Nothobranchius furzeri: one gene and its partner. The protein of the gene in region 2 purifies or fractionates together with the protein of the main gene of each other region. This does not show direct contact. Links are inferred from orthologs where the notes say so. Each region holds a gene or a part of one and is shown on either strand. Other genes may lie near its edges. The genes, in order: med19a and polr2i.

Region 1 (12,458 bases), on a different chromosome or scaffold from region 2:
CACCCATGCCTCTGGAATGCCTTCAGCATAAAAACAACCAATTAAACTAAATATAAATATTAACTATTGACTTATTCTTAACATCTTAACTTTTTTCTCCTGGACAGCTACCCATCCAATCACTTTGGGACGCTGACAGGCCTCCAGTCCATGATCAGCGCTGTAGTTGCTCTGTTGCAGCAGCCGCTCTTCATCGTTATGGTTGAACATATCAGCAACACCTACTGGGTGAGGAAATGACTTCATTTCTGCACATTTTACACAACACAGCAAAAAAAAACAAAAACAAAAAAAAACAGAATTCACACACAGAAGATCAAACATGACTTCAGAGTAAACAAACTTGGTGGGGGGTATTAATATTGAGACTTTTTGTGCTCTACATTTTATTTATTTATTTCTACTCTGTATGGAAGGGGATTAGAGCCATGGACAAGAAAAAAAAAGAAAAGAAAGAGAATTCTGACTTTTTCTCAAAATTTTGTTTAATACAAATTTTCTTTTCATGAGGACAATTTAACATCCAGCTTTCCTGAACTTCTTCACATTATCTATCTATCTATCTATCTATCTATCTATCTAAAGAGTTACAGCTACATGTCACACAGGAACTTTTAATTATAATTAATGTAATTTTTTTAAATTCCATCTAGGGGTGGGCAATATCATGTCAATCATAATATTACCAGTTATTTCCTGCCAAGAAAAACAATCTGTCATGTTATGCTAACTTCTTGATGTTATTGCATCCACTAAACAGAGGATTATGTTCATGTTGGTCATCAGCATGAAGTTATTGAAGTTATCAAAGCAAACATGGCTGGAATCAGTTTTACTGTAATCTGTTAATCTGAGTGTGTGTGCTGTTGTAATGAGTGGATGTCCCCACTGTGGGACTAATAAAATTTACTCTATTCTATTCTATTAATTCATATGAGTCAGTAGGAAAAAAAACGTTTGAGGAATTTTGGCCTTTCCAGGTTTCCGTACCAGTAACCTGGTTATGGAGGAGGGGTTCGACTCACAAACAGTAAAAACACACAGGTAAAGTGGTGAGTTAAAACATTAAAACGTTAGGATTCCTAATGTCTTAATTCACTGCGTCACCAACTAATGTAGAGAGGGATCATGTGAGTGAGTCACCACGGTAGGAAGCCCAGCTTGCTGTGAGCGACGATCTGTGGCTGATGAGTGAAAACAAAAGAAAAACATTCTGGACTGAAGCCCCGTCAACACTGGCTGGCGACGCGGCTGCATTTCTAAATAAAGCATGTCATTTTGGTGTTGCTTGCAGCCGCAGCTCACGGTTCTAGGAGAAAGAACCGTGCATGCCCGTCCAATCAACAGCAGGTGGAGCTCACCGCTCCGCCCATCCCACAACCAGAGTAGAAAAAAGCACATCAGCTTGGATTATACAGATGGGATTATGTGTGAAATAACGCCAGTTAAATTATTACTTAAGTGTTGTTGTGTGCATGTTGTTCAGTAGCTAATGCTATAATGAATATCATGGGTTATTTTTTCGTGAGTCCTACACACTGTGCGTGATGCGCGTTTGGGGAGCGCAGGCGCTGGTTTAGCACGAGAGATTGGAGGTGTGGCGTGAGAGCGTGTGAAGAGGGTCAAATGTGTGTGTCTCACGCTCAGTGCGTGAGAGTTGGCAGCCTTGTTAACCGTGCCAAACAGAAAACTAAGAAATCAGCAAGAAATATACCTTATTAGCAGAAAAAAGTACTAATAAAAGTAAAATCCCAAGTTATTATGTGCTTAAATCCCATTTTATCCTTACATAAACTGTTGTATAATTTTTTTTATTGTCCCCTCATAAAAAGGTGAAACCAATTTCTCTGTCCGCTTGCTCTTTCAGATCAACGTTGGGCTGCTGATCTTCTCGTTTTCTGGATTCCTGTTGCCAGGTTACCTGTTTTATCACCGTAGAAACTTGCTGAAGGAGAAGAAGAAACCATCACCCAGTCAGGAGATGGAGACCCTGAAACACAGTGAAGCTAATGGTCACTGTAACGGCTTTACGGCCACCGATGCCTAGGCTCCAGCAGAGCTTCAGACTCTTTTAGTTTGTGCCTTCAGAACGAACACCAGCAGGCCTCTCATGTAAATTCACATTTAGGCAACTCTTTTTATACATAGTTTTTGTTTGTTTTCAAGGTCATTGCTGATGTCCATTTTGCTCATGCTGATCTATGTCATGGAGTTGTTACGGTTCAGTCAGACTTGGGGGGGGGGGCGTGTCATCACCTTTTTGCTGCTGTTTGTGTATTTTATTGTGCTTCAGCTCCATGAGCCAAACTTGTGTCCATTAAAGCCATAGACCTTAATTGCAGAGTGCAGATATCACGGTACTTGAAATACTGATCTGTAGTTTTCTGACAATCCTCACAATCCTGCTGAAACACCAAAGAACATAAGAACGTTTTAGTCAGTATTGTTTCAAAACTTTAACAGGATATAGATTTTTCTGTTAAATTACCTCTGAAAACATGATCCAGATGCTTCTTTAAAACATCTTCATTATCATACACTTATTTCTGAGCCTGTTTTTTCACCCCCACACTCAAAAAAAGTGAATCTACCTCCCCCGTTCCTTTTTTTTTCGTTTGTAATTTTTTAATAGAAAATATAAATTGAAATTTCCTTCAGAGACAAAAGCGATGCAACCCAAACATTTCTGTATTTCTGTTATTTAAATAGGAAGAACATTTTTTTCAGGAAGATGTGATTGAAACCCTTTGTACAGCTTTATGCACAGAAATGAACTAGGGTGTGTATAAAACAATGTATGCAGGTGTATTTTTTATATTCTAGCTGCAGGAGTGTTTAAAAGGGAAGATTATTTTGTAGAGGGCTTGTTGTAAAAGAGCTCAGCTGATTCCGCGTTTTCTGCTTCTGTTGGTCTTAAGCCGGTTTCACACTGCAAGCATCAGCGGAACAGAGCGGCAGCGGAGCGGCTCACTCGCGAACTTCAGAGCGGTCCTCTTCACACCGGGAGAGACTTGGCCGCAGCACGGCTTCCTCGCTACACCTCGCTGTACCCGCGAGATTCTAAAATCCCTAGAGACTTCCGACACCTTCCTCATCGAGAGATCACAACCCCCGCGAGGAATCACACCGTTGCACTTCTAAGAAACTGGTGGTAAACAATGCCGTTCGGTCACATGTACTGACGTAAGTTAGATATCCAACAGCGCAACGTTGCATTTTATTTTGAAAATAACCGGGGATTTTACACTGAAACCGTGTGGTTTCCCGTCTCACACTATGTGAACTGCGGAAATTGACGTGTCCCAGAAGCGACTCGCGGAAAAAATAGAACTCGATCCTATCTTGCGCGGCATGCCGCTTCTGGGACGTGCCTGGAAGTTGTCGCGTCGCGGCTGGTTTGAAACACTCCATAGATTAGATTCTATTTGAAGCGGTGCCGCTTCACTGCCGTTCCGTTCCGCTGATGCTTGAAGTGTGAAACCGGGGTAAGACGTGAACAAACCTTTTGTAAATAGAAGCGAGGTGCGACTCGGATTATTCTGGGTGTGTTCAGGCTGCGGCTCCTCCCGTGTAATTTTACAACAAAAATGAAAACATCTGGCTATGGCGTGCTTTTAGTCAGTTGTAGGAAAACAGAACAGAAGGTAGATGTTGGCTGTACAGATTGTGAGATCAGTTGTAAAATGTTTTTCCAAATATTTTGAAAAGTGCTGTTTGAATCTTTTAGGCTCCTTTAAATGATTTATGTGATGTTTTTGTCTCCATCTCAGCTTTATTGTAAATTTGAGAAAAAAAAAACTTCTGCCAAATTTCTGCCTTTATAAACCAAAGTTGTCTTTTGAGACTGGAATAGCGTTTCACCTCGGGGCGGGACGGCGTGAATATTAAGCAATGAAAACTCAGTTTGATTCCGATTGTTAGTTTGTAAAGTTAACTGGATCTCAGTGGTGACGTTTTCTTGGTAAAACATGCAGGTTTTCTTCAACAACTATCGTTTTTCACTTTTCATCACCCTGGAGTTTGGTTTTTAGACTCAGTTGTTTGTTGGTATTAAGTTGAATTCAAGCATCATTTACTTGGCTTGTATTTGAAGTTTGTATCACATCCAGTATTTCATCCATAGCATTGTGGGTTGAAGCGTTCAGCTACATTTTCATCCTGGCTTTGGTCAGTTCATCTACTCTGTGCTGCATTTGATAAACATAAAAATGTTAAACTGAATGTGTTGTTTGCTGTTACTGTGTTAAACCTAAGGGAGTTCAAATAACCGCAGACACTGAAACACACACAAAGATAATCAAAATTTATTTGATTTTGGCTTTGTGGTCAAAAGATAAACTTAAAGAAATACATACTCTCACTGTTCAATGGTTCATCTGCTTCTTCTGTAATGTCTCATAACATTTACACCCAGTGGCCACAGACTCAGCACACATTCTGCAGCCATCCATTACTTCCATAAAACATACTCTTAATACATTTATCTGTAAAACACACACATGCATCCTCTTACAAAAGTCACACACACACACAAACACACAGTGGGCTTCTGTCTATCTGAGGCTGTTGCTGTTGGGTTGTGATCCAGTGAGGCCCGGGTGGTCTGGACTGTGGCGGTTCTGGAACCGAGAGGAAGAAAAAAGGTTTACATAATAGGTTTTTGAAGACGAGTGTTTAGTTTCTCATAAACTACATGAGTTTAAATATAATCTGATTAAAACACCTGAGACTGCATCCTGAGTGCACATGGGGTTCATTTCTGCAGATATGCACAAGCTACTCCACAAATAAATGTAGGATTTCAGATGTAGATTTTATATAAAATCAATCTTTAACAAAAGAAAAAGTTTATTCCTAGTTAAGAGATTTGTCCCGATGCCCACCCCGGATGAATCCGGGCTGTCTCTAGCCTCTGTGGTATTTTGGTCTTCTACCTACCATCTAGAGAAGGTGGTCCTTATTGACATTTTATTTATTCACATTAGTCTCAGGGAAAAAACTAAAAAAAATTATTATTTTTTTTTACAAGAAGAAGCTGACATTTAGAAACAGGTAAACAGTCTAAAACAGCTCTGGAAGTGAAAGGCAAAATTTAAATGAAGCAACAAAATCTGAAGCTGCAGCAAATTCTTTAATCACTTCCAGAAGCAAGATTGTAAGTTTTATTTTTTTAGGTGAAGAATAAAAGCTTGAAAACCTTATATTTTACTTTGTAATATTGAATTAGCTACTTGAGACCAGAGAAAATATTAGCTTTGTATATTTTAATTAAATAAATACAACACTTGGTTCCCAAAATAAAGTGATTACCAATAAAATTACATTGAAAACATTGATACTTTAAAACCATGATAAAATCACAGAAGTCATCAAAAAGCTTGTTATAAACGCAGTTTAATTCTAATTGATGAAATATGAAACAACTTCTCAAAGCCCATATGTGATTACAGTGAGAGCTGTATTGTGTTAAATAGTGCCCAGCATAAATGAGTACACCCCACTACATTTGTCAGAAAACCTTTAGTTTTCTTTCAGAATCAACATTTCTATGAGATACCAAAAAATACTCCCACAAATGTGGGCCATTGAACAAGATTTGTTTATCTGCACACAAAAAAATGATTTTCCTAACAAATCTGGTCAAGACCATGTTGTAAAAATGAGTACACCCTATTTATAGTCTTAGGAGAAAAGTCACACTGAAGACTACACAATTCTAATTAACAGGCATTCAACCACAGATGAGTCTAATGTCTTATTTAAGAGGTGTCCTGCAGACAGGTGATTATAAAAGGGAATTACTTAAAGGGACTTTACAGAGTTTTGAATTTTTATGCTCGCGATTGCCCCCTCAGGCCAAAAGGTAACGGCAGCTTCAATAGTGGGCTCGTGCACGAGGCGCGCATGCTGTACGTGCACACTCCTTAATGAAAATAGCAGCTGAGACAGTCAGCTCCGTGTGTGTGTGTGTCGGAGAACAGAGGACAGGAGAACGTGCAGCTAATTAATTAAATAATTAGGTTCTGCACCTTTCTCTTCAGCACAGCCGACAAAGGTTTATGATGGGTCAGTCCTCCTGCATGCTCAGATCATTCCCTTCCCTTGCTTGAAAAATTGTTCCAAAATGAAAGTTGAACCCACATCTTTTTTATCTGTGAATTCAATGCTGTTTGGCGAGTCTCAAATAAAAATTTGGGCATCTTACTGTAAAAAATATACCATTAATGTAAAAATGAAACTCTAACTTAACTATGTCCACATCCAGAATCGAACCCGGGTCTTCCGCACGAAAGTCCGACATCTTTCTAGGCGAGCTAAAGCGCCAGTGACATCTTTCATATCTGTACCATTTATATCCTTGATGACAGCTGAAACAACGTTCAAAGAACGGTTCGGAGGGCGATGCCTGAGCGTGAACGCGCACGAAGCAGCCTGCTCGACCCGAGCAGCTCTCTTTTTCTGTGATTTTACAGAAAAACAGGCAATCACAGTAAAAATGCCAGGGCTCATTCTACAGGACCAGGGCATTGCAGGAGAATGTATGAAGAAGAAATTTATTATTTCTATAAATGTTTTGGCTGTCAAACTTCCATAATGCCCCTTTAAAGAAAGCCTTTCCCATTTCATGCTGCCAGCAATGGCTCCACATGGAAGAGAAATGTCATAAAATCTGAGAAAGGAAATAATGTATTTACACATAAAAGGTGAGGGCTACAAGATCAGCCAAGCTTTACATATCAGTCAGAATACTGTAGCAAAAGTGACCAAAAAATGTAAGACCAAAAAATGTAAGAAAGACGAAAGTGCAACCATCTTACAGAGACGTCCAGGCCGTCCATGGAAGTGAACATCTCAAAAGGAGCGTCTTCTGAAGACTGAAGAAAATCACCATTAAAGTTCACTGCAGTTAGTTAAAGCAGTAGAAAGCCAAACTGGAGTGACCGTTTCCCATGACACCATACAACGCACACTGCAGAGGAATGGCATACATGGGTATTGTCTACGAAGGAAGCCTCTCCTAAAGCTCATGCACAAAAAGCACACCTAGGATTTGCTAGGGCCCGTGCTGAAAGAGATGAAGACTACTGGCACTCTGTACTCTGGAGTGATGAGACAAAGATCACAGTTTGTGGAAGTAATGGTTTCAAAACTATGGCGTTGTAAAGGTGAGGATTTCAAAGAGAAATGCATGGTGCCTACAGTGAAACGTGGTGGTGGTGGCAGTGTCCTTATGTGGGGCTGCATGAGTGCTGCTGGTGTTGGGGAGCTGCATTTCATTGATGGCATCATGAACTCAACGATGTCCTGTTCTATACTGAAGGAGAAGATGCAGCCATCACTCCATGCACTTGATCATTGGAGGGGATAATGCAAAGAAGGATTCTCCAGAGAATCAAGAAAATGATGGACAACCCTGAGCATTCTCTTCACAAGACTGTCCGACAACGGAAGAGTGTCTTCAGTCAGAGGCTTCTTCAGTTTGGCTGCAACACTGACCGCTACTGGAGATCCTTCCTGCCAACAGCCATTGTAATATACAATAACTCTTTGATGACTTGATTATTATTATTATTCTGAGCTACTACAGCAATCAATTTCCCTCTGGTATTAATAAAGTATCTTTGAATTGAATTGAATTTGAATCATTGTGCACGTTTCCACCACGACAATGATCCAAAACGCATCTAAAGCTACTGTTGCATTTCTGAAGAAGAACAGGGTGAAGGTGATTGAATGGCCAAGTATGTCTCCTGATCTGAACACCTGTGGGGAATTCTGAAGGTTGAGCATCACTCTCCATCCAGCATCCAGATTATAAAACACGTTATTCTTGAAGAATGGAAAAAGATAGATGTTAATGTTTATGTTTATTTATTTAGCAGACGCTTTTATCCAAAGCGACTTACAATTTATAACCTATAGGGCATGTTGTGATCTGTGGGGGAAACCGGAGTACCCGGAGGAAACCCGAGCATGCATGGGGAGAACACGCAACTCCACGCAGAAATAGCGACAGTGCAACAACTGTGCCACCATGCAGCCCGATGTTGCAATATGTCACCATCTTGTTCATGCCATGCCTAGAAGACTTGATGTAGTAGTTTTTGTTGAGGGGTGTATTCCTTTTTGCTAAAACCAATTTTAGCAAAACTGAAGATTTTGTGATCCAAGTCATATTAATAGCCTTAATTTCATGTTATGGAGTTAAGCAAGTGTTTAATAAAACCCAGCCTTGTTAAAATTCTGGAAAATTTTTTTAGTTCATTGAGCTACTGATTAAATTTGTACTCTTCAAAGGGGGTGTACTCATTAATACTGAGAACTGGATGAAAAAACAAAACTGCTGTGCGACTTATGTCACAATGCTATTCCGAGTCAACATTTTAAATCTTTTTAATGCCCAGCTAGAAACTTAATTAGTGTTTAAAATTTTCTCACCTTCTTTTTTTTCTTGTCTTTCTTCTTTTTCTTGCGGTCAGGATCATCGTCCCTCTTTTTCTTCTTTTTCTTGGGATCAGAGTCTGACGGAGTTTCTAAAATCAGAACAGACGTGTCAGTGTGGTGAAAAACACGTAGCACTTGTTTCAGCTGACCTCACTAACACGCCACCAGACCTTGTGGGAGGGGGTCCTGTGGTCGATTGTGCTTGTGTTTGTGTTTGCTCTTCTTCTTTGGGGGCTGTATGTGCATCAGTCTGTACTGTTCTGGAAGCTGGAAAAAAAAAAAAACACTACATGTTACATAACGGGGATAAGATGATCATTTATTATCAGGCATAATCAGTGTTGTGGTACCGGTCCTGTATGTAGTCTGAATCCTGTGAGCAGAGCACCAGTCAGCGGGCTGAACGAGTTCCCACAAACGGGAGGCTTATCTATCAGAGAGCGCAGAGAGCTGCCGTCCTGAGTGCCCGGACAGTCGATCATACCTGCAACAAAAGAGACACTATAAAAGTGGAAATAAAGAGCGTGGCTGAAAGGGATCCGTGTAATTTACAGGCCATAGTGAGGAGTCCAGGTGAGATTAAAGAGGCTAAAAAAAAACAACAAATCAGAAACAATGAAAGTTAAACTTTTGGTTTTAGAGATACAGCCTCAGCCCTCAAAGTCTAATTCATTAGAGCGCCCAGAAGTCCCAGCACCTGTCAGAATGCAGGTTTAGATTAACTATAGCTTAAGCCACTGGAGTCAAACCCTGGCCCTCGAGAACTGACCTGCCAGTGCATATGTTGCCAATACTACAGATCCCAGAATGCTTTGCTGCATTATCAGCAGCATCCATGCTACCAGTCTCGAGGAGGGTACGGCTGCGGACCTGGAGACCACAGATTCGGTCTCAGACAAACAAAAAAATGACTGCTTAGTTAGCACCCAGCAATTTGCCAACTTTGAAGCCCAAATATCAAGATTTCAACAGCTCAGTAATCTATTTGTGGCCGACGTGAAAAGCGCAGAAAGCAACCTCCAAATGGAGCCAAATGAGCTCCGGTGTAGTAAAACGCTCAAATTTGACTCTGTGGCTTCTGCTCAGTTTCCATCTGATGTGTTTTATTTCAAAGTTAACTGCCCGTGTGTTGTTAATTTTAAACTTTGGTTATTCCAGAGTAACTATTAATGCAAGACTATGGTTTGTTTCCATATAAAACATTCAACAACACAAATCAGAAGATAAAGAAAATTTTAAGCATTTGCATCCATAAACATTTTCCCATGACTTTGTTCTAGTTTCTCCAGTTTGGCCCAGAGTGAATTTCAGTTTGACACCCCTGGCTTAAACGATGACAAATACAGGTAGAAAATCCTGAAAAAGTATAGTATTTTGTCACTTGTTTAAAAAAATTCATCTGACCTATTATGTAAATTAGGGATGCACGGATAACTTTTTTACCACAAGGAAGGGAAACCATAGAAAGTCATTGCTAAAGAAGCATGTCAGTTCCACTTTACTAAGTCCATCAGGGACCGGACAAGTTGCAAGTGTGATATTCTGGCCACAGGGGGCGGTGGGGGTCTGAGTGACATTTTTTTCACCCTAAGGGTCATTTTAGTACATACTGGCTAAAGAAAACGATGTAAAAATATGAAAAAGTTGCAGAGTAAGCCTCAAGTCCAGGTGTGGTGTTGATATCTAATGATTTGGGCTCCATGTCCTCTCCTGGTGTTGGTCCATTGTGTTTTCTGAAGTCCACAGTAAACTCAGAAATTTACCAGGTACAGCTGAGGAAATTAATCAATAATCGATGCATCAAGATGCAGACATTAATTACAAATCATTGAAAAGGCCCACCATGATAAATTATTGTATAATGCAGTTTTTTAACAGCAGCATAAATATTTGATTCTAAAGTTGCTCCAAAGACCTTCAAAGCTATTACATGGCCCCATAACAGATTTTGTCAACTATGGAAGGCAAGAATTGGACATGTCCTGTAGGTTTTCAGTATTTATTAAGATGTTGGTAGCATTTGCAGAGCTTGTTTTTCCCCACAGCCTGAGATGTAAGTGTTGAATGAGAAAACAGATTTTGTTTTCTTCGTTAAATCTTTTTAAATGTTTAAAATGTTTTGCACTCTTACATTGTTCTAAGGACTGTTGTGATTGAAGGGCTTCTTGGGGAATGACATGTTGCGTCAGACACGTTTTGATAGAAAAGCAAATATCTGACATCTTTTATTAATTGATGAAAGTAAACCCATAAGAAATAATCGTGATGCATTGAGATATCAAATTGAATCGTTGACAATCAGTTCAGTGGCCTAGTGGTTTGAGTGTCCACCCTGGGACTGGATCGGGAATCGAGTGGGAGTTCAAATCCTGGTCGGGTCACACTTAAAACTGAAAAATGGGACCCAGTGCCTCCTCACTTGACACTCAGCATTAAGGGGATGGATTGGGGATTAAACCAAATAGTTCCAGAGCGTGGCTGTGTCGGCAGCTCACCGCTCCCCAGAGGATGGGTCAAATGCAAAGATCAAATGTCACACACACACACACACACACACACACACACACACACACACACACACACACACACACACACACACACACACACACACACACTCACACACACGTGTGTGTGTGACAACTAGTGGGACTTTTGACATGATTGTATTTGTATCAAATCACGAAACTAGTGGAGATTCACACCTCTACTACCAGGACGTTTTAGAGCTCTTCATACGTCCTTTTGATGATGAGCTTGATGGAGATGCTGGTTTCTTTTTCCCAAAAGGATCCTGTACTTGCTCACACAGGTACCAGAAACTGATTCAATGATCCTAGTGTTACTGGGCTTGATTGACAGCTAATGGGCCATTCCCATCTGTACCGGGTCGGCCCGGGCCGGGTAGCGTAGGTTGTTTACATATCTGGGTGGCCTGGTATTTTTCCGGGCCAACCAAGGCTCATTCTCAGCCCTCTTCTCGAGGGGGTCTGCTTCAGGCCGACCAGATCCAACACACCCACTGCTGACAGCAAATTCACACCTTCCATTAGAGCAAGCCTCTGATTGGTGGGTAGAATCAGCCCATATGGGCTTAAGGCAAGGATGTGTGGAATCAACCGGGCCAGGCTGGGGCCGACTGGGGCTACCCGGCCCGGGCCGACCCGGTACAGATGGGAATGGCCCATAACTGGTCTGACCTGACACCCCTCCTTCCCCCCACCCCCCCATGGAGAATCTGGGTTACTGTCCAAAAGATGAGACACAGACCCAACACTGCATATGACATGAAGGCTGCTGTCAAAGCAACCTGAGCTTTCATCACACCTCAGCAGAGCCACAGGCTGATGGCCTCCATGATGCAGCCATTCACGCTAAAAGGTTAAACCAAGTACTGAGTTTATAAACCATCTCACGTAATCTTAAGTAGTTTTCTGAAACACTAAGCGTTTTCTCATCTTCTCTTTACATAGCATGTCTGCACAGTGCTGGAAACCAAGTTTTCGTTATTTTCTTTCGTGGTTTTTAGTGGTCAAAGGTTAACAATTCTAGACTGCTGCCTATGTGTAAAAATAATTGTACCTTTGTTATCACTTTTCTTCAAATTATTCCCGTAAGTGTTGGTGCTGTTGTAACAAGTGAATTTCCCCACTGTGGGATCAAAGTCTATTCTGTCTGTAGCCATAACCAACATTAAAAAAATAAAGACCTAAAGTATTTCACTGTCAAGAATCACTGAGAAACGAGAAAAAAGTCCACTTTCATGATCCAACAGCTCACCTGGTAAATCTGGCAGAAAGCTGCTGAGCTTCTCCTTCACCTTCTTCCCACAGGACTTGTTGTAGGAGTGCTCCAGGTTGTAGTGTGTGATGAGGTTGGTGTTTCCTGTCAATTCGTTTCCAACTAAAAACAGAAATGTATGCATGTATAAAATCAACTTCCCACAAATAGCCTAAGTATTGGACAACATCCATCCGCTTCTCGGCAGATGCTCATCCATATGAAGGCAATGTTTA
Region 2 (13,459 bases):
TAGTGGCCATCCAAGTATGTGAGCATTTAAACACTAATGCTCTGTTTGAGGAATTTCAGTCTGGTTTTAGAGAGTATCACAGCACTGAAACTGCATTAGTGAAAGATACAAATGATATTCTCATGGCCTCAGATAAGAATCTTGTGTCTGTTCTCTTGTTAGATCTCAGAGCTGATTTTGACACAGTTGATCACAATTTTCTTTTAGAAAGGCTTGAACATGTTGTAGGGATCAAAGGAACAGCGCTAGACTGGTTTAAATCCTACCTGTCTGATAGACATAATTTTGTAAACGTACATGACAAATCTTCTTCATACTCCAAGGTTACTTGTGCAGTACCACAGGGTTCAGTGCTTGGACCAATTCTTTTCACTATATATACGCTCCCAATTGGTAAAATCATTAGACAGCATGGGATAAACTTCCACTGTTATGCTGACGATACTCAGTTATATCTATCCATTAACCCCGATGAACCTAATCGGTTAGTTAGTTTACAGGGTTGTCTTGAAGGCGTAAAAAATTGGATGACTCAAAACTTTTTGCTTTTAAATCAAGACAAGACTGAAGTTCTCTTCTTTGGACCTGCAATTCAGAAAAGGAAATTGCTTAGTCAATCATCTACCTGAATGGCATTAATTTAGTCTCCGAGAACAAAGTACGGAACCTTGGCGTTATCTTTGACCAGGACATGTCATTCAAATCCCAGGTTAAACAGGTTTGTAGGATTTTCTTTTTCCACCTTCGGAATATTGCTAAGATTAGAAGCATCCTTTCCAGGACTGATTCTGAAAAACTAGCTCATGCATTTATTACATCAAGACTAGATTACTGTAATTCATTACTCTCAGGAAGTCCACAGAATGTAGTTAAAAGTCTTCAGCTTGTCCAAAATGCTGCAGCTAGAGTTCTGATGAGAATTAAAAAGAGAGATCATATCTCTCCTGTCTTAGCTTCCCTACATTGGCTACCTGTTAAATTCAGAATAGATTTTAAGATCCTCCTTCTCACATATAAAGCTCTTAACAATCAGTCTCCATCATACATCAGTGACCTGATTGTTCCATATGTTCCTAACCGAGCACTTCGCTTTCAGACTGCAGGTTTACTGGTGGTTCCCAGAATATCTAAAAATAGGATGGGAGCCAGATCTTTTAGTTATCAAGCTCCTCTTTTGTGGAACCAACTCCCAGCTTTAGTCCGTGAGGCAGACACCTTGTCTACTTTTAAGACTAGGCTTAAAACATTTTTATTTGATAGGGCCTATGGTTAAAATCTGATGTTAGCCTAAATCTGGACAAGTGGGGGAGTAGAGGGAGGTGGAGTGTACAGTCGGCAAAGACGGCTCTCCCTTGCCCTGCCTCCAACATGCCTTCATCTAAAAGGCTAGGTTATCCAGAGTTATCTCTGTAGTTATGCTGCTATAGGCTTAGACTGCTGGAGGACATACTGGCCACTTTCCACACTCGACTACTTTCTTCTACGATCTGCTCTTTAACTGTATTATTTCCTGCAATTTCAGCAGTTAACTTTATTTTTTCTCAAGTGTTTTTCTCCCCAGAAGAAGCTACAATGATGTTCTGCTGAGCTGTGGTAGCCTCATGGAGAGGGCCATCGTCTTGAACACTGTTGCTAACCATTTAATCATTCTCCCTCTCCTGATAACACTTTACTTTCCTTGACATTGAATGTGCTACTACTAGTTTACCCATTTAATTATAGATTCACTAGGATAAATACAATAAAGTTTATCTCTCACTGTTACAGCTGTTGCTGTTTACCTCAGAAAACAGACACTGCAGAGGACAATCAGTGCATTGCCTCCTCCTCCTACCTGCACAGCTGCACTCACTTGGGCTGATCACCTCCTGAGCAGCATAAAAGGGAGAGCTGCCAGGAGGAAGGGAGAGTTTGCCTACTCCGTTTTGGTTATTTCCAAAAGTGATGATAGATTTTCATATTCACAATGTAATTAAAATACAGAAAGGTGTGGGGAACTGGGATAATGTTGTGGAAGAAAAATTAAATGACGGCGCTCATCAATCATTCATCCCTATATATACTGACGGGTCGAGAGAGTCAGGAAATTTAACAGGGTTTTCTTTCTGGATTCCGAAATTTAGTAAATATCATAAAAGTCGAACATCTAATAATCTATCAGTATATACAGTGGAAATGTTAGCCATTTCATTTAGTTTACAGTGGATAAAACAAAACGGTGTTAGGAAAAGTATTATTTGAACGTCTCCATGTCTGTATTGTTGTCAATTAGAGAAATGTCAGCAGATAAGAGGTCAGATATTTTGTGTGAGATATTCGAGTGCTTGTTTAGGTTGATGAAGACTGATTCAGAGGTTAGATTTATGTGGGTTCCAGCTCACAGTGGAGTAGAGGGTAATGAAATAGCTGATTATTATGCAAAGCAGGCAACAAAACTGGATACTGTGATGGAGGTTCCATACAGTGTTGCAGAGGTGAAATCAGTTATTAGACAGCAGATTCTGGATGGATGGCAAGAACAATGGATAAGGGACGTGAAAGGAAGACATTTATACAAATTAAAGGGAAAGGTTGGAAGAATGGAAATCATTCAAATGAGTAACAGAAATCATGCAGTGGTAACCAGGACGAGAATGGGACATAAAGCTTTGAACAGTACACTTTTTATTCTTGGACGGCATAATGTGTGAATGTGGACTTGATAGGGAAACAGCAGAACATGTATTATGTGCTTGTAGAAAATATGTCGGTAATAGGAAATTGTTGGTTGAAAAATTAAAAGTTAAAGGATATGAGGAATTTGAGCTGGGTATTCTGTTAAATGGGGGACTAGTGGTGTATAAGTTAGTCATAGACTTTTTAAGGGACAGTAGATTACTTGATAGAATTTAGTTTTTTTTCTTTTAAAGGATAATCCCCCACTTCGACTCACACTCCCATTCAGTAGGTGGCGGAAATACACCTGAAAGTTGGTTGCCACCCGCCATTAAACAACAGAAGAAGAAGGGAGAGACTGGATCTGTGCCAGTTCTCTCATGTGCTCCATTTATTGGTGTTTTAATGGCTTTTAAATGGGTTTTAGTTCTTTAAGCTTAGAGAAGCTTAAGAGGTTTTTAACAGACGAGGGACCAGAGTGCTGGTTACCTCTTGGCTCCCAAACTTGTGTTTAAGTCAGTGGAATTTGCTTTGTGAATGTTTGGGAGCATTCGGATGTCTGTTTTAAACGTAAACCCTTGGCCATTTTAACAATGTGTTTAAGTACTTTTAGATTTGGAGCTTTTTGTCATTTTAAAATCCTTTTAATAAAATCAATGTTTACAATTTCCACAACTGAAACACATGCCTCTGTGTTACTCCCCGTCCTTCTCCATATCCACCAATAGAGGACGTAATACAACAAATAGAATATTTACTAAGAAATCACAATGCAACCATAGAAACACTACTTGGTGTGTGTGTGCGTGTGTGTCTGCTCTGTCTTCTCGATCCCCAGTGAGTCATTGAGGATGGCTGTTTATACTGAGCCAGGATCCTCTGGAGGTTTCTTCCTGTTAAAAGGAAGTTTTCCTCTCCACTGTTGCTGCATGCTTGCTTAGTATGAGGATTGCTGTAAAGTCACTGACACTAGTCACTAGTCAGTGACTTGATGCAATTTGCTGGGTTCCTTATGTAGGAAACTTTTTTCTGATTGGCTTAGTGAACTGACCTGTATTGGAAAGTTTATTATGTGAAGTGCCTTGAGACAACGCTTGTCGTGATTTGGCGCTATATAAATAAACTTGAATTAAATTGAATTTCAGAACAGTATTTCAGAGTCATAGGTCTGTCGTATATGTAGACAAAATTTCAGAAGTTTGAGTTCAGCTCATGAATAATAGGAATAAAAACAAAACTGTGTCCCTAATAGTTTTCTGCATAGTTCTGGAACCCAAGTTTTTCATTTTTTGGGGTGGTTTTTAGTGGTTGAAGGATACAATAACAGCTTACTGCCTGTGTTTAAAAACATGTACCTTTTTTATTATTTTTCTTCAAATGATTCTGAGTGTTTGTGCTGCTGTAAGTGAATCACCCCACTGTGGGATGAACAAAGTCTATTCTATTCTAAAAGAGAACCAGTAAAATTTCAGATGCTGACCCGACTCAGGTCTGTTAGTGATGAAACACTCTGAACTGAATTACTCATGAATTAAATGTACAACTTACCCACACGGTTTCAGATATTAGTGAAATTACACCGACATGTTTTCTGGTGTCTGCATGAAAAACTTAAACTAATAAACATGGTCATATTTTAATTATGTGATTAAAAACACGCATTTTCAGTGAAAAAAATTGCATCCAAATTTACCACAAATTCCCATCAGATTGAATGAAACGGAGGAAAATGTGGTAATCCAGAAAGTTACTAAAGTAATTCAGAACTGTAAACATCTTTACTGGACAAATGTTCTCCCCCAACAGCATCCCAGTAGAAACCATTTGTTCCAAGTTTTATCCTGTATTGAAGCAAAATGTGTCCAATAACCAACGAGATTCCTCTTCCGCTTTTTTAGAAAGTAAAACAGTGAACACACGACACATATTCAACTCTAGAGTAGTTTGTCAGTTTATTAAAAAAAGTATTTGCTACTGAGATGATTAGACAAAAATCATGATGAACAAGAAAAATCCTGTTTTCACAAAAGATTGTTGAGTAAAATTTTTTAATAAAAAAAAACCCAACATACATCTGAAACTGACACCTGAACACATCATAATCAGAAAGTGTCTGTTACCAAACAGTCTACAGGTCTCAGACAGACATTTACAATTGGCAGACAGCAATGCTACAGATCCAAATGCTGGAAGCTGTCATTCTGTCCACCGGTGTCCACAGTGAGGCGCTGTGCACACGTAATACAGACGCATGGCATCCTGCACAGAAAAAAAAGATAAATAACGGCACTTTTATTTATCTTTTGCCCTCAGTTAAACAGAAAAACTGCACTGTTTTTTTTATGGTTTTATAACCATCGAACAGATGTAGTTTCCCTGATAGAAAGTGTTTTACAGACATCCAAGAATTTATTACCTCAGCCTTCATGCTGTGGGACTGGAAGAACACTGCCTCCTTGTGGCCACATCTCAAAAATGACAGATGAAAGCCATTGTTAGAAAATTTCCTTCATAGTTTACTGACATTCAGCATAGAAGGAGAGAAAGAAAAACTGTAGAGGACAATGTGTTTTTGTGGTTCTTCGTATGAAAATCAGCATGCTGGAAACAATTTCTCTTATTTTAATCAATAAAATAAACTCGGATGAGATCCTGCGCCTGAGAACGCTGCTTAATAGCTCTGCATGTATAGACATGATGAACAACAAAAAATCAGCAGACAAACAGAAAAAGTATGATAAAAGACAAGGTAAAACCACATTTCCTATCAAAGAACTTAAGAGCAAGTCACCCCCAAATAAACTTTTTTTGCTGATAAACTAAATAAACGAGTGTCTAATCGTGCTGCAGACATGTGTAGTCAATAATTTGGCACTTCAGTGCATCTTAGTTAAAATTTAAATATTCTGCCTAAAACTGTCAGTTCTGTGCCGTTGTCAGGTAAAAACTATGCACTGTATTTGAATTTAAATCTGCCACCGCTATTGGCTAAGAGGTATGCTATGATGTAAACTGGTACATTATGATGTCACAATGCTGTTGTGAACTTGTGTGTGTGTGTGTTTGTTAGCGGCTCCGCCCTCTCGGTCTGCAGGCAACGGCATTTGTTGCATTTTTCAAACATGAAGTGGGAGTGGAGTTTGACTCTGGTAGGGGGTGACTTGCTCTTTAACCTTTTTTCCTGACAGTTTGATGAAGAAATGTGCCCTTTACCTTTTCGCACATATTTTTTCCACAAATATAGTTCATCTGCTGCATAATATAACATTTAGGGTCTGCCAGGTCTCATGGTGCATATGTTTATGATTCTGCATGAGAAAGAACTTATATGTATAAACACACGTTAGCAAGTCAACAAAACAAAGGGTCAGGTTGTTTATGACGGCCACAAACAAGTTAAATGCTAACTCTAAAATGCTGAAACACGTTAATCTGATGGAATCTGCTTTTTACACTATTATTAGTGTAAAGTAAATTTACATTTAGACTTTTGTTTGTGGACAGTCAAGCCCAATAAAACCATTTCCTGTACTGAAGGTTAGAAAACCCCGATTATGCCTGAAAACAAACTTACTTTGGACAGGGGTGATCCTCAGTTCTCGGCAGTGTTGGATCCTGGGCTACATCAGCAATGATTTGTGTCAATTCACTGAAAAGAATAAGATGTTAAGAGTCTATCACCTCACTTTTAATCTAAAAAGATGGACATTTAAAAGTGTATCAGCCATTACATTACAACAGTGTCATTTACAAGGGTGTCAGTGATTTTGCATGACAGATATTTACAAGATTTTTTTTCAGTTATGTGCATAAAAATCACCAGTAGCAGAAAAGTGTAGCACTTCTGGTTCATCCACGTTCAGGCATGACAGGACGTTCTCAATACTTCTACTAAAATAACCAGGTGATGCAGAAACATAAAAGGTTTATAAAGTGGAAAAACCTACAGAATAAAGTTTGTATGAGCCTCCAAGAAAGCTATTTTATAATGACAGTAACACACTTAAATTGTGTCTGGTTGAGACTAGCCTTTAGCTTATCAGTCCGGTGCACCTTATTTTTCTGAACTGAGGCCATTCAGGGAGCTATCTACAACAAGAGAGATAGCGTTTAATTACAAATTCAGCAAAGAAAATCACCTAATACAGACCAAAATATTCTTTTAAATGACAGACTAGTTCATTTGCAATGTTGTTCGCATGTATGATGAACAGTTACTGTCACAGAAAATCCATGAAAACAAATGAAACAGTAAAACAAAATCAAATAAATATATATTTATATTGCTTTAAAAGGTAATGCATACAAAGTACAGTACAGTGTATAAACCAAAAAGGACAATCTTTTCAGAAGACAGATTAAGTCTGTTGTATGTTCTAAATACGTTCAGAGCACCTTAACTTATTGTTGGTTATGTAACCCAAAAGTGTAAAAATACAGTCGTCTGTCTGCCAGCTCACAAACGACCAGGCATTAATAATAAGCCTGACTGCTGTTTTACTCTCATAAGGATACACAGCTTAGTCTACATTTACCATAACTGTGATTTTCCATCTGTTTAGATTTTAGAAATCAACTTCTTGTAAAGCATCTTGCTCGCGTGGAGCCACAAACGTCTACCCTAGTGTGGATGATAAATCCGATGAATTAGTAATTTCTCACAGCTCATATGTGACTGTAAGATTCTCAGTTAAAATAAGTAGGCCATCTCCGGGTGGCAACGAGAGGTTTTATGGAGCATTTGGGGACATTTTTTTCAAAAAGGTTAAGATAAATAAATTTAAGTGACAATAAAAGCATAAGATGGTAAAGTTGGGAGAGGAGTGGCACCACAGGGTGAAGCTGTGATATGTGGAAACCCTTGTCATTACTTACTCGACTTCATGGGTGATCTTGTTTACGTAGATGCAGCTGTTGTCAGCTTCCTGCTGATAGTCACAGTTTCTACACTGGAGAGTGATAAAATGCACAAAACAATTCATAAAGCAACATGATTAAATGTTCTTTAGTGAATTACATTGTTCAACTGGCATCACACCGAAAAAAACCAATATATTTCGAATAAAGACACTGTCACGCTCTTCATATCCACATTCAATACAATAAAACTTTGTTTTAGAGTCTTTTTAAAATTATAAATGTAATAAAATCCATAAACAACCCATTTCATCCCATGTGAACATCTAAAATCTCAACGAGGTTTAGCGTGTTGACTGGAAAACTTTACAGAAGTAAGAGTTTAAGCTGGAAACTTGTTTATAAACTTGCAATTAACTCTAAACAAGCTCGTGGGTTTTACCGTCAGTCTGAGACGTAACTTTTATTTTCTGAGGTGAGCTAAATGACTTCTAACCAAATACTCACCGCATAGAGAAGGACGCGATTCTCCTTGTCTTCTTTGGGGTACAACATGTTATTACTGGGGAGAACAACGTGGTTAATGTGTTTTTATTAAATTAACAAGAATACTAAAGAAGCTAAATTAGTTAACGCGCACGTACTATTTACAAAATAAGTCAATTTTGTCAAAGATTTACGGTCCCAAAACTCACCATTCTTGACAAAACCGGATGCCTACAAAACCCGGCTCGTAGTTTCCACCGTCTAAATCCATCATAAACAATATTTATTAAAGAAAAGAGATAGAAAAATATTACAAAAGCTTTACTCCGTCACTAGATAAAGCCGCTACAGCTTCTAGTGGAGAGAAAACAGACTGTTTATACTTCCGGGTAACGCCAAGGAAGGATTTGGATGAGTTTGAGACAGTGCCACCTACTGACTGGGAGACAAAATTTTAATTAAAATCTAAACTTTAAATTAAATTAAATTAAATTAAATTAAATTAAATTAAGTTAAATTAAATTAAATTAAATTAAATTAAATTAAATTAAATTAACGAAATACCCAGCCTAAAATTAATACTTTGAGACTGATGACACTAATCCAAACAAGCCTTCAGTCTTCCATACCATGGAGGTAATTTTCACTTTAGAAGTGGAGGGGACAGGGGGGGGGGGGGGGTAATCTTTACAGTATATTCTAATGGGAAACAGGCTTCAACACAAACGGTTGTTTTCCGCTTGGTCCTAGAGCTCAACCAGTGTCAATTTAATATAAAGTAATATTGTTTTTAATGGTAAAAAGTGCAGGGGTCAAAACTTGACTTTGGAAAAAGTTGGGGGACATGTCCCCCCCCCCCCCCCCAATTATGTCCATGTTCCATACATAAATATAATTGTTTTTAAATCCACACACGTTCTCTCTATTCTTTATCATCATTCCTCTCTTTTCTAGGAGAAACCTTCACCTCTCAAGATTTTATTCTGCGTGCCCCCTTCTCTCGCTTCAGATTATTATGTCATCAGGGGACATAATAGTCTATGGAAATTTCTGCCTAATTTAATCTTTCAGCCTCGGTCAGGCTCAGAGCTGATCATGTAAAGTCATAGTAAACAAGAATCTCAGATTTTAACTGAATTGAGTGTTTTATGATTAAATGAATATCATTGTGATTGTGAATACTTTTGTCACTACTGCAAGATTGTTTGAGAGTTTAGGGGAACACTGTAGGCTTGTGGTGGTTTTTTTTTACACCACCACCATGTCCAATTACAACAGCATCAACACCACATAAGTAAACTGCTGTTTGTTGGAAGCATGCAAAGTTAAACCTTCTGAGACCCAAATTTGTATTTGGTGTGATGTAAGATGAAATCAAATAAAAATATCAGCAAATTTAATAAAAAACAGAAATAAAAAGAGAACATTTTTAAATTTAAGTCAATATCAAGTGTCTCTAAATAATGAAAAAAAGGTCTAAGTTGAAGAGAATAAAACATTATAGAACAAGAAGCCAAAGCCTCCATATGTGCATGCAGGGTCTACGAAGGTTAATGCTTTTGCTGTTGTGCTCATTACAAATTATATAAGACGCCATTCTATGGCAAGCCAAATGAGCATTTATTCTGATGCCAAATGAGCATTTATTCTGATATCAGGATATCAGCCAGCATTGTCATGAACATGTAAGCCATTTCTGTCCACTAGTTAACTAGTTAGACATGTTTGTGTCAACTAGTTAAATAGTGACAGCCTAAATGTCAACTAGTTAACTAGTAAGGCCTAAATTCTCTCTAGTTAACTAGTTAAAATGTTTCATATCTTACTAGTTAACTAGTATTGCTCAGTGTGTTCACTAGTTAACTAGTGGACAGATCAATGTCCACTAGTTAACTAGTTAAAACACATTTAGTTTTTACTAGTCAACTAGTAAGGTACAAAAACTTGTACTAGCTGACTACTGAATGTAAAAATCCCACTTGTTAACTTTGCCCAATTTGGCCAGCCGCTTGAGCATTAATTCTGATATCTTGTCAACAGGTCAACTAGTTAACTAGTGAGGGTCAAACTGTACACGCTAGTTAACTAGTGAACACATTTTGACCTTCACTAGTTAACTAGTTGACACAAAAATGGCTCATTAGTTAACTAGTAAAGGCCAAAATGCATACCAGTCAGCTAGTTGAAGGTATTTGTGTCTCACTAGTTAACTAGTCAGGGTCAAAATGAGCCCACCAGTTAACTAGTGGGAGACGGAAATGTTCACTAGTTAACTAGTGAACACATTTTGGCTTCACTAGTTAACTAGGTGACACAAAAATGGCTCACTAGTTAACTAGTAAAGGCCAAAATGCATACCAGTCAGCTAGTTGAAGGTTTTTGTGTCTCACTAGTTAACTAGTGATGGCCAAAATGTGCACACCAGTTAACTAGTGACAGAAGAAATGCCCACTAGTTGACAAGTGAACACATTTTGGCTTCCTAGTTAACTAGGTGACACAAAAATGGCTCACTAGTTAACTAGTAAGGGCTAAAATGCATACCAGTCAGCTAGTTGAAGGTTTTTGTGTCTCACTAGTTAACTAGTGACAGTTCAAAGTGTCCACATGTTCACTAGTGAAGGCAAAACTCCTAACTAGTTAAGTAGTTGGAGTAGGTCAGTGCCACTAGTTAACTAGTGAACCATTAAAAACTCACCAGCTAGCTAGTTGATTGTAGCAGGCTCACTAGTTACCTAGTTGATGCATCCATTGTCCAAACTAGTTAACTAGTGAGGACATAAATGTATACTAGTAAACTAGTTCAAGCCTACATTCACACTAGCTAGCTAGTTGCACAGAATTCTAATTAGGAGGCAGAGAATTTCTCAAATTGAGGCTTTCTATTGGCTCACTATGTTAAAATAAAATATGACAACCAATCACAGTGTGGAATTTTGCAAAATCCCACCCCAAACATTTGCATGTGGCACACAAGTTAACATGCTGGCCAGAGGAACCTCAGCTAGTGAACTAGTAGTGGCTTCAGTGTGACACTTACATGTAAACTTGTGAAGGCGGAACTGCTCACTAGTTAACTAGAGAGGGTACAAATGTCAACTAGTTAACTAGTGAGGTGCAAAATAAGTGTCACTAGTTCACTAGTGGGCCCCAAAACGCCCACAAGTTAACTAGTAAGGTGCGGATATGCTCACTAGTTAACTAGTGAGGTGCAGATTTGCTCACTAGTTAACTAGTGCACCCTTAAGCGCCCACTAGTTAACTAGTAAGGTGCAAAAAAGCATCACTAGTTAACTTGTAAAGTGCAGATATGCTCACTAGTTAACTAGTGGGCCCCAAAAAACCAACTAGTTAACTAGTAGGGTGCGGATTTGCTCACTAGTTAACTAGTGAGGCGCAGATATGCTCACTAGTTAACTAGTGACGTGCGGATTTGCTTACTAGTTAACTAGTGAGGCGCAGATATGCTCACTGGTTAACTAGTGAGGTGCGGATTTGCTCACTAGTTAACTAGTGAGGTGCAGATTTGCTCACTAGTTAACTAGTGAGGTGCGGATTTGCTCACTAGTTAACTAGTGAGGTGCGGATTTGCTCACTAGTTAACTAGTGAGGTGCGGATATGCTCACTAGTTAACTAGTGAGGTGTAGATATGCTCACTAGTTAACTAGTGAGCATATCTGCACCTCACTAGTACCTCACTAGTTAACTAGTGAGCATATCTGCACCTCACTAGTTAACTAGTGAGGTGCGGATTTGCTCACTAGTTAACTAGTTACATCTAAAAACACATACAAGCTGACCATTTTTGTCCACTAGTTAACTAGTGGAACAATTGAAATTTCACCACTTTACATGTGTGGCAGTGCAGCAGCTCACTAGTTAACTAGTGCCTGAAACACAAATTATGCATATTCTAATGAGAAGGCGGGCAGAAGACTCCTGTTGGGTATAAGAATCCCACCCAGTCTAAAACGTATGTGCTGTGGCCTCACAATCACATACTGATGGGTGTCCCTGAGCGCCAAGGCTTGAACTCATTAGTCATGGTTTGAAACCTACTGGTTGGTCGTTGCGGCGGGTTCGAATCCAGCAGATGGCATTCCGCAATTGCTGTAACATTATTTATTTTCTCTTTGTGTTGTAATGTTCAAAGTTTTATTGTTTTACTGCTTTTATTCCCCCCTCCCAAATCAAGTAAAGCACCTTGTTTGGTGTAGTGTAAGGGAGATCAGTTGGCGAGTTCAAGTCCCATTGAGGAGAATTGGAATTTAGTGTGCCAGCAATTTTATTGTAGTTCATTTTTGTTTGGTATTGAAAGTTTGGTATTGAAAAAGGCTATATTAAAAATAATTATATATATATATATATATATATATATATATATATATATATATATATATATATATATATATATATATATATCTATCCATCCATCCATCCATCCACCCATCTTCCCAAGAAATAGATCAAATGACACTGAGGGAAAAAACTGTGGTTATTTTGGAGAGGGTGCTCGCTGCAAAACCACAAAGGCGGAGCTGCACCCCGCCCATTCACGCAAACTCAGCCTAGCCCACTGACTTCCGTTTTTGTTTTCAACTTTATCGCAAACTGACCTGACCCACATGAATTACGGCTGTTACTAGTTTACAGTCGTTAATGCTATGTTCTGTGCTCCAATTAAACAAGATAAATATAACTTGCTACATGACAAAGACTGAATATATCTCGAAATGAAAAGGTTTCTTTTAGCGAATATCTGCCTACAGCTGGTCTAATAAAAGTGGTGTACAACAGCACTTCAGTCTATTGAATGGCTTCTGGTGGTCTAGTGGTAAAATCGTCTGAGATGGTTTTTGCTTTCCCCTCAGCTGTTGCTGGTTCGATTCTCGGTGGGGTCGTCAGCAGTCTATTTAGCCAGCTGATACATTCAATTTGTTTATATTTTAGTTGTAATGTTTATTTTCAGCAAAATATTTATGTCGCTAAAAGTTCTTTGAATTTGGTCATTCCTAAACAGCATTTTAGTTGAAACTCTGCTCACAAATGGACTCACACTGGCTAAATAAACGAATAAATAAATAAAAAAAACACATTATATGTTAAACGGTATACCAGTAAATTGTTGTAAACATAGTACTGGCAAGTGTAGCTAGAAATGAAGAAAAGAGGTTGTAAACTACCTAAAACTTACACTACTGGGAGGCGAAACAGCATGTCAACCTGACTCCATAACCACTACACCACCACATCTGTTATAAATCAAGTGGCGTTACATGTAATTGTGCTTCCCAGTGTGTCTCTGAGATGGGATGTATGGTTTATTGGCGGTGTCTGAGTAGAAGTCATTTCAGAAATAATTTGTCAGAAAATTCACAGAATATCCAGATTTGAGAACCAAGACCAGACCCGCTTCGGGGGAGGAGACCAAATTGAAGCTGAGATGGGAGGAAAATGCATG

Evidence for each region.
Region 1: the proteins of polr2i (region 2) and med19a purify together in Homo sapiens (affinity purification with mass spectrometry; 3 studies listed by BioGRID and IntAct, with this or other methods). This does not show direct contact. The link is inferred for Nothobranchius furzeri from reciprocal best matches to the Homo sapiens genes POLR2I and MED19.

The regions. Positions count from the first base shown.
Region 1 is NC_091741.1:91,559,505-91,571,962, reverse strand, and holds the end of med19a (mediator of RNA polymerase II transcription subunit 19-A), read right to left. Parts: intron 12,346-12,458; coding exon 12,223-12,345; intron 8,930-12,222; coding exon 8,796-8,929; intron 8,713-8,795; coding exon 8,616-8,712; intron 8,535-8,615; coding exon 8,440-8,534; intron 4,620-8,439; coding exon 4,554-4,619; 3' UTR 4,289-4,553; downstream 1-4,288. Other genes in the region: slc43a1a (solute carrier family 43 member 1a), read left to right, coding at 108-228, 1,868-2,047. UniProt on the Homo sapiens protein: Component of the Mediator complex, a coactivator involved in the regulated transcription of nearly all RNA polymerase II-dependent genes.
Region 2 is NC_091753.1:27,221,632-27,235,090, reverse strand, and holds polr2i (DNA-directed RNA polymerase II subunit RPB9), read right to left. Parts: upstream 8,467-13,459; 5' UTR 8,273-8,466; coding exon 8,208-8,272; intron 8,075-8,207; coding exon 8,020-8,074; intron 7,605-8,019; coding exon 7,531-7,604; intron 6,305-7,530; coding exon 6,230-6,304; intron 5,124-6,229; coding exon 5,072-5,123; intron 4,915-5,071; coding exon 4,852-4,914; 3' UTR 4,583-4,851; downstream 1-4,582.